2 linked regions of the Mus musculus genome follow. The protein of the gene in region 2 purifies or fractionates together with the protein of the main gene of each other region. This does not show direct contact. Links are inferred from orthologs where the notes say so. Each region holds a gene or a part of one and is shown on either strand. Other genes may lie near its edges.

Region 1 (4,123 bases), on a different chromosome or scaffold from region 2:
ACAATACTTAAGTAAATACTTATAAATGAACTAAAAAGGACATTTTTCCTTTACTGTAAACCAATTTTGTCAACAGCAGAATGTCTTTTGCTTCTCTGGCCTCTTGCACCTAATGAGCACTTTCTATGTACCAGACGCCTATATTTCTCCGTTTACCACAAAAGCCATAACAAAATGTTAAATATTTCAAAGAGAGGGGACAGTTGCACACTTGCTGGCTGGCATGGTCTCTCTCTTTCTCCACACATATTTTCAAACAGATTAAAAGCTGGAGGACAGGGCATAGTTGTTTTTCGCAGCTCACCAACTAAAATCAACACTTAAAATAATCTCTGCAAACTCTTAACAAGATTTAAGATCTTCAACTTGTTTAATGTGACTAAGTAATTCTGGATTGGATAGTTAATCACTGGACAACTTCATTAACTAATTTGTCCAAAATTAATGGCTATTTTGATTTATTTCTTTTGTTTTGACTCTCTAGCCTATCTTATACTTAATTTCAGAGTTCTTCTACTTTGTTCTTTTAAAGCAAAATGTTCCTTTTTTTGATCCAGAAATTTTAATGCAGTTGCAAATTTGATCTTTCTTCACATCATCTTCCACCCCCAAACAGAAAAACAAAACAAAACCAACTAAGGTAAAATAAAATACTACAATTGCTATTCCAACTGAGATCCAATTTTTCAGTGAGAATTAATTACTACTATGATGAACTGTAGAAAGGCGAGTCTTGAAGGTCATTTCCAGCTGATGCCATCTGAAAAGTGCTACTTCCTTGAAGCAGGCCAATTCATTTAACAGCTCCTGTGTAAGGTGGCAGGTTTTACATACAAATGCTTATCAGACTCACTATTATTTCAAATTTCAAATTCAGGTCAGCACACAATGATACTTTTAGGTCTTCATAATTCAACACCAATTTAAGTGATAAGCATACTTAAACAAATAATTACCCCTCTTCTTCACTGCACTTCAAAAAGACTTAGGAGGGGACTCTTGCCTGCTGATTCTAATTTAATTGAAAATCTAATTTAACATCTTTCTGAGTAATTGTAACATACAATACAAGTCAGAGATAGAAACCTACTGTCAAATCCCTGACCTGCACGTATTAAAAACAGTACAGCACAAACAAAATTCCAATAGGCCAGTGGCCTACTGATGAATGTAAAGTCCTTGAATAGTCAGATCGTTCGGGTGCCTCAGGGTCCTAGCTTCACTCAGAGTGACTTCATCACCACAACCTCTTGTATACATCATTCATAACTACCCTGAATCTTGTTTGGCCATCTTCTCATCTGGGACTTACTTCTCCCAACCCTCACAGTCACCAGCATCCTTCAGGTTCTCCGGCTCCAGGAAGCCCACCGTGAGCCATGGATTATTAAGCCCCCACTGCATTTACTATCCGATGAACTTAACCTGTACTGGGATGAAGTTACCACCTTGGATCGTACTTTGTCATCTGCTTCCGCAGCAATTTATCTTCTGCTCCACAGTAACCCTGAAAGCTTTGGGAAGCACATGGTGCGTCACAATAAATGTCTGCTGTTATTAGTGTTGGAAAAATGTAGGCATATATGACTAATCATGTTTGAAAATAGTTCTTTAGGTTATTTGAGATGAACTAATTTCTTTCAATGACTGAAAGGATTCATAAAACTAAATTTACAACTTCTTCACATGCAACTACTTATTGACAACCCTGTCAATCTATATTACTGACACCATTCAAGGCCCTTATTTTTCAGTGGTTTTAAAGTCCACACATTCTATTCCTATAACCAACCTTATTGAAACTACTACCATGTCTCTGCACTGTCATGAATATTGTGTTCCTTCTTACATAATCAAAACCCATAACAAGCCGTGAATTATGAGTTGCAAAAGAGGCTTTAGTTTTCATACCTAACTTTAAGTGTTTGTCCATTCACTGGCTTTAACACCTCAAATTTTTAAAAACTATTTTTTTTTTTACTATTCCAATGTCTGCCAGAACAGCAACATCCTTTTTAATATTTCACACATTTTTTTCAAGCATTCTGCCCTTCCTTCTTTAAGACATGGCTAATAGAGAAAGAACTTCAGTTATTACTAAGCTATTCCTTCCCCTGACCCATTTAAGTCATCAAAACCAACATCTACTGCCTTAGCAGTGGGACAAGGTCTAGGTCAGAAGTGTTCCAAGTAACTCGCCTTTGACCCAGACCTTTCATAACAGGCACTTTAACAATAAGGACACGTAAATTCACCTTTGTAACTCACGGTTATCAAACTAACGCATCATTATTAGTGGGCTTAAAGCTTACTACTCCCCAAATGTCATTTCTTAAAAAAAAAAAAAAAAAGTTAAGATCCAGAATGAGTAAAGCAAAGGAAACAGCAAGGCTTGGGAAATTGGGTTACTCCCCAAACTAGCACATAGAAAAAGAAAAACTTATGCTAACCAATTCACCGCTCTGTGCAACCTAGCATATAGGTTTAAACTTTTGTCTAAATACAACTTCAGGAAACCGTTCGGAACTAGGACACAGGAAGAGAACCTTCTCCAAAGAACCCAAATAACTCGCTTTTGAACACCAAAGTCATTGACAGAGGGCCGGTAGTCTCCTCCCACAACCCTGCTCCCGACTCAGCAGGTCCTAGGGTCCCCAAACTTCGAACCTCAGCACTGTTCTTACCCAGGCCTGCACGCCTCATCCTGCCAGGAGAGGGAAAGGCGGGCAAGGAGGAGTGAGTAGGAAAGGGCCAGGGTCACCCGACCTCGGCTTCAGTCCCAGGGCTCCTAAGAGCAACAACTTTTTGCCTCAGAGCGCCACGACATCAGTAAAGTCTAAACACCGCGCCGGTTTATGTCGTCACTCGGACACATATAGGCGTCCTGAAATGCGATTACTAGTTGCATTCTGGGAAATGTAGTTTTCCGTCTTCTGGGGCACTGGGTAAGAGGGGCGTGGTAGGAACAATGCCTGGAATGGGCGGGGCTTCCGGAAGGGCAGCGACAGCTGCTGGGGCTCTAGTCCTGTTATTCTGGGTCATTACTTAATCCAGAACTTTTAGTATGGCACTTTTTGATGTTAGTGCCAACTTTAACCTGGGAGAGTTACCCCTCCCTAGCCGGGATGATGGTTGACTCTTTCATGATTTTCCCTTGCACTCCCGCTCACCCAAAGTCAGAGGTGAGAAAGTCAGTGCAAACTTTGTTCAAACAGAGTCTCATCTTACTGTCTGAGCCTCTTAGCAGGAAAGGAAAATCAATCCTCTTCCTTCCTGATCCTGCCCAGTGGAATAGTTAAAAAAAAATATATATATATATACACATATATATATATATATATATATGTGTGTGTGTGTGTGTGTGTGTGTGTGTGTGTGTGTGTGTGTATGTATGTATGTATGTATGTATCCTTGCAGTAGAACTTCCGGGTAGGGAAGTGGGGAGTCTCAGCTTCCTAACGCATTTGATCTAAGTCTGGAAAGAACTGTGATATTTAGCTTTTAAACACTCCACCCTACTTAGAGCTTTTAAAACGTACACACAAATACCTCATACTTGTTTCCATGGAGCATGTAGCCATCCTCTGCTACATATGCAGCAAGTACCCTTAGCTGCTGAACCACCTCACTACACACATTATACTTCATAATAGAAACACATTGCACTAACACTCTGCCCTCAGCTTACTGTGGTTTGATGGCTGAAAGAAAGAGTCTAAGTTCCGCCTTCTTTGCTTCTATTGCTATGTGATAATTTTCAATTCAACTAATACAGAATGTGAGATGAGTATGGGGATATAACAAAGATCCTTGATGATTTTATCACAAGTTCTTATTCAAGTACAACATGTGACTATGGGAACTATAAGTGTTCATACTCGAGCATAAACATGCCATCTTCACCTTGTAGCTTTTAATATCTTGCAAAATTTGATGAGTCAGAGGGCTATCAGAATCCAGAGCATATTAATGAAGAACAATAAAAACACTTATTACAAATATATCATTTGCACATGAGCATGTTATATTATGCCATTAGACTTCATTTGCATGATACAAGATCAAAGACAAAAATTATTAAGAGTTTCAGAACAATGAGGCACACCAAACAAGTGTGGGGGTT
Region 2 (3,649 bases):
CAGAGCTAGAAAAGTCTAGTGTCACCTTCTGACCTGACTAGACGCGTACACCATTAGCTGGTTTCCTCTTGACTTCCCTGCCAGAGACAGCCAGAGACTCTTCACAGAGATGGTCTTCATGACTGAAGACTCCCTGCCTAATGCTTTTCTTCTGGTCTCTTACCAGGATATCAATAGCCTCAACAAACAAATTGCTCAGCTTCAAGATTTTGTGAGGGCCAAGGGCAGCCAGAGTGGCCGGCATCTGCAGACCCATTCTAACACCATTGTGGTTTCGTTGCAGGTGGGACCTTGGGGATGGAGGAGGGAGGAGAGGAATAACAAAATACATTCTTTGACCCAATTGTCCTTGCCTTTTAGTCAAAGCTGGCTTCTATGTCCAATGACTTCAAGTCAGTTCTAGAAGTGAGGACTGAGGTAAGTGGGATCAGTAGGTGGGTAAGGACCTATTGTAGGGTCCACAGACCCACTTTCCAGGGACTCAGGAGCCGTGTATTCCTCCCCAACATCAGAATCTGAAACAGCAGAGGAACCGTCGGGAACAGTTCTCCAGGGCACCAGTGTCAGCCCTGCCTCTTGCCCCCAACAACCTTGGTAAGTCAGTAGTAGCACTATGGGAAGCCTAGGGGCTAAGTTCTTCTGGGTTTGGTGGCATCCTTTAGACTTCAGAGTGTAAACACAGTAGAGTAGGAGAACGGAGCTGCCAGAATGGTGCTGTGCATTATCTCAGAGGACAAACTTGGTTTTGAAACTTTATGATCTACACTTAACCCTTGTGCCTTCTCATGGGAAACATGAGACATATCATGTAGACATATCAGAAAAATGACAGTGTCTGACTTTTTGTACTTAGTTACATTCTCTCTAATTTTCACAACCAGCCTTTGGAAAAGCAACTATTGTTAGCTCCATTTTGCAGATGAGGAAACTGAGACTCAGATCAAATAATCTATTCAGAGCTGGATTTAAATCTAGTGGGTTTTGAATGTGTTTTTATTTTTAAAGCTAGGGTCTCATGTAGCTTGGGCTGGCCTCTAGCTTGTTAGCTGAGGACTAAACTATCTCCACCTCCCTATGACTAGTATAACAGGCAAGCACCACCATGCTTTGCTTGAACCATGCCTATACATTCTCATGTATGCACTGTGTGTGTGTGTGTGTTTTGAGAGACAGACAGACAGTGGCAGTCAGACAGTGACAGTCAGGGTTTCTCTATGTTGTCTTGGCTGGCAGATCAGATTGGCCTCAGACTCATAGAGACCCCCTTGCCTCAACCTCAAGAATTCTGGCATTAAAGGCATGTGCTACCAATGCCAAGCCCTGAACCTGCTTTTAACCATTAAAATGTGCCATGTCCTATTTTCCTCCCAGGAGGTGGTCCCATAATTTTGGGAGCAGAGTCCCGAGCTTCCAGGGACGTGGCTATTGACATGATGGACCCTAGAACAAGCCAGCAGCTTCAGCTCATTGATGAGCAGGTACCCAGGCTCTGAAATCTGGAGAATCAGTTTCTCTATTGTCTTCTTTGTTCCCCTGAGTGTTTGGAATGTGTCATGGTGAAAAAGTCTTAAAAACCTAGGCCCTAGTTCATGGTGTTTTCTTCTTCTGAAGGATTCCTACATCCAGAGTCGGGCAGACACCATGCAGAACATTGAGTCTACAATCGTTGAGCTGGGCTCCATTTTTCAGCAATTGGCACACATGGTTAAAGAACAGGAGGAAACGATTCAGAGGTGAGACACTCTCACCCCATACAGTGCAGCCTTCTCTTCTCCATGGATTGATATCCTGAAGTCCCTAGGGACAACTTGGTGTTCTTTGGAAGAGTGGAGTGAATCCTGCCTACCCACTAGTCCTGTTCCCCTGCTTCTACTCATTCCATAAGAATTTATTTAGGGGCTGGTGTGGTGGTGTATGCACGCCTTTGATCCCAGCACTCTGGAGACACAAACAGGCAGAGCTCTATAAGTTTGAGGCCATCCTGCTCTACATAGTGAGTTCAAGGACAGCCGCTGAGGCTACAGAGAAGTCCTTTAAAAAAAAGAAAAGTAAAAGAAAATGCCTACCATGCATAAAGGTTTAGGATCTGTCCTCAGAATCATAGAGAAAACAACTGGTAGGGACAGCCAACTGGCTCATCCGGCAAAGGCATTTCCTGCACACGCCTAGTAACACGAGAATGGTAACTGCTGCCAGATAAAGGTGAAAGATTTCAGCGCCACAGGGTTGTCTTGTGATCACCACATCCATGCCTCCTACCCCATAATAATAAATAAAAATGTAAAAAAAAAAAAAATCAAACAGCTGAGAAGGGAGCACAGTGTGCTGACCTTAAAGTACAGCTACTCTCGAGGATTGTTTGAACCAAGGAGTTCAAGACAATGACATCAGACCACCATGATCTGCTATGTGGATGCTGGGAATTGAACTCAGAACTTAAGTGAGTGCTCTTAACCACTGAGCCATCTCTCCAGGCCCACAACCATATTTAACCCTAGTTTTAGGAGATCCAACGCAGGCATCAGGCATTTAAAAGTTGATTTAAAATGTCAGCAGCAGAAAATGTCAGTGGTACTGTTGTAGCAGCCTGAGAAATCTGTAGAGCCCGCGGGATGTGGGTGCTCGCTCCACAAGGCAGGGTGAAACAAAGCTGACTTTAGAGAGCAGAAAGACGGTGAACCTGAGAAGGGCAAGGACAGTTCTTATGAAGCTTGTCTGCTCATTATGTTGAAAACTCCTGAGGTGCTGGCTCAGCTGTTAAGAGCACTGGCTGCTCTTCTGAAGGACCCGGGTTCAATTCCCAGCACCCACATGGCAGCTCACAACTGTCTATAACTTCAGTTACAGGGGACCCAACATTCTCACACAGATGATAGCCATGCAGAGAAAACACCAGTGTACATGAAATGAAAATAAGTAAATCACTTAAAAAGCAAAAAAGAAAAAGAAAATTCCTGAGGTGTAGGCAGCTAAATGTGTATCAGAACGGGGTGCAGGAGTTTCCTGATGGATGCCCTTTTAATTTCCTGACTGTCCTGCAGGCCTTGCAGTGTCCTATAGCTTCAAGTTGTTTGCTGGCCTTGTTACTGCTCTTTCAAAACAGAAAAGCTTGGTTCTCCAGTGTTATTTGGAAAAACCAAATATGGGCTTCAGTGGCACTGCTTATATTACTTTGTATGGAATAACTTGAAAGAAGATGCTGTGTAACTTGTATCTCATTAGGAAGCATTTAATGTCAGATTGCATTTATATCAGGGAGGACAGATATCAGAAACAGTCTTCCACCCCATGATCAACTCCAGGACCTTGTACATGCTGGACAGTATTCTGCCATTAAGTTACACACTCAGTCATTGTTTTTAGCTTTTTTCCTCTTGAGTGAGAAACTCAAGGCAAAGCTCAGCAGATAAGTTTGCTTGCTATAAAGCCTTGATGGCCTGCATTTGGTCCCTGGAACCCACATTGTAAAAGAGAACCAGTTCCCACATGTGTCCTTTGACCTCCACATGAGGGCCATGGCACATGCATACTCATACATACACACAGACATACAAAATAAATATAAAAGAAAAATTCTTTTTTTTTTTTTGTTTTTTTTTTGTTTTTTGTTTTGTTTTAAAAGATTTATTTATTTATTTATTTATTTATT

What was found.
Region 1: the proteins of Stx5a (region 2) and Bet1 purify together in Homo sapiens (affinity purification with mass spectrometry; 3 studies listed by BioGRID and IntAct, with this or other methods). This does not show direct contact. The link is inferred for Mus musculus from reciprocal best matches to the Homo sapiens genes STX5 and BET1.

Annotation. Positions count from the first base shown.
Region 1 is NC_000072.6:4,084,093-4,088,215, forward strand, and holds the start of Bet1 (BET1 homolog), read right to left. Parts: upstream 2,839-4,123; 5' UTR 2,704-2,838; coding exon 2,685-2,703; intron 1-2,684. UniProt on the Homo sapiens protein: Required for vesicular transport from the ER to the Golgi complex. Functions as a SNARE involved in the docking process of ER-derived vesicles with the cis-Golgi membrane.
Region 2 is NC_000085.6:8,748,295-8,751,943, forward strand, and holds part of Stx5a (syntaxin-5), read left to right. Parts: intron 1-166; coding exon 167-283; intron 284-360; coding exon 361-417; intron 418-512; coding exon 513-594; intron 595-1,371; coding exon 1,372-1,478; intron 1,479-1,611; coding exon 1,612-1,733; intron 1,734-3,649. UniProt on the Homo sapiens protein: Mediates endoplasmic reticulum to Golgi transport.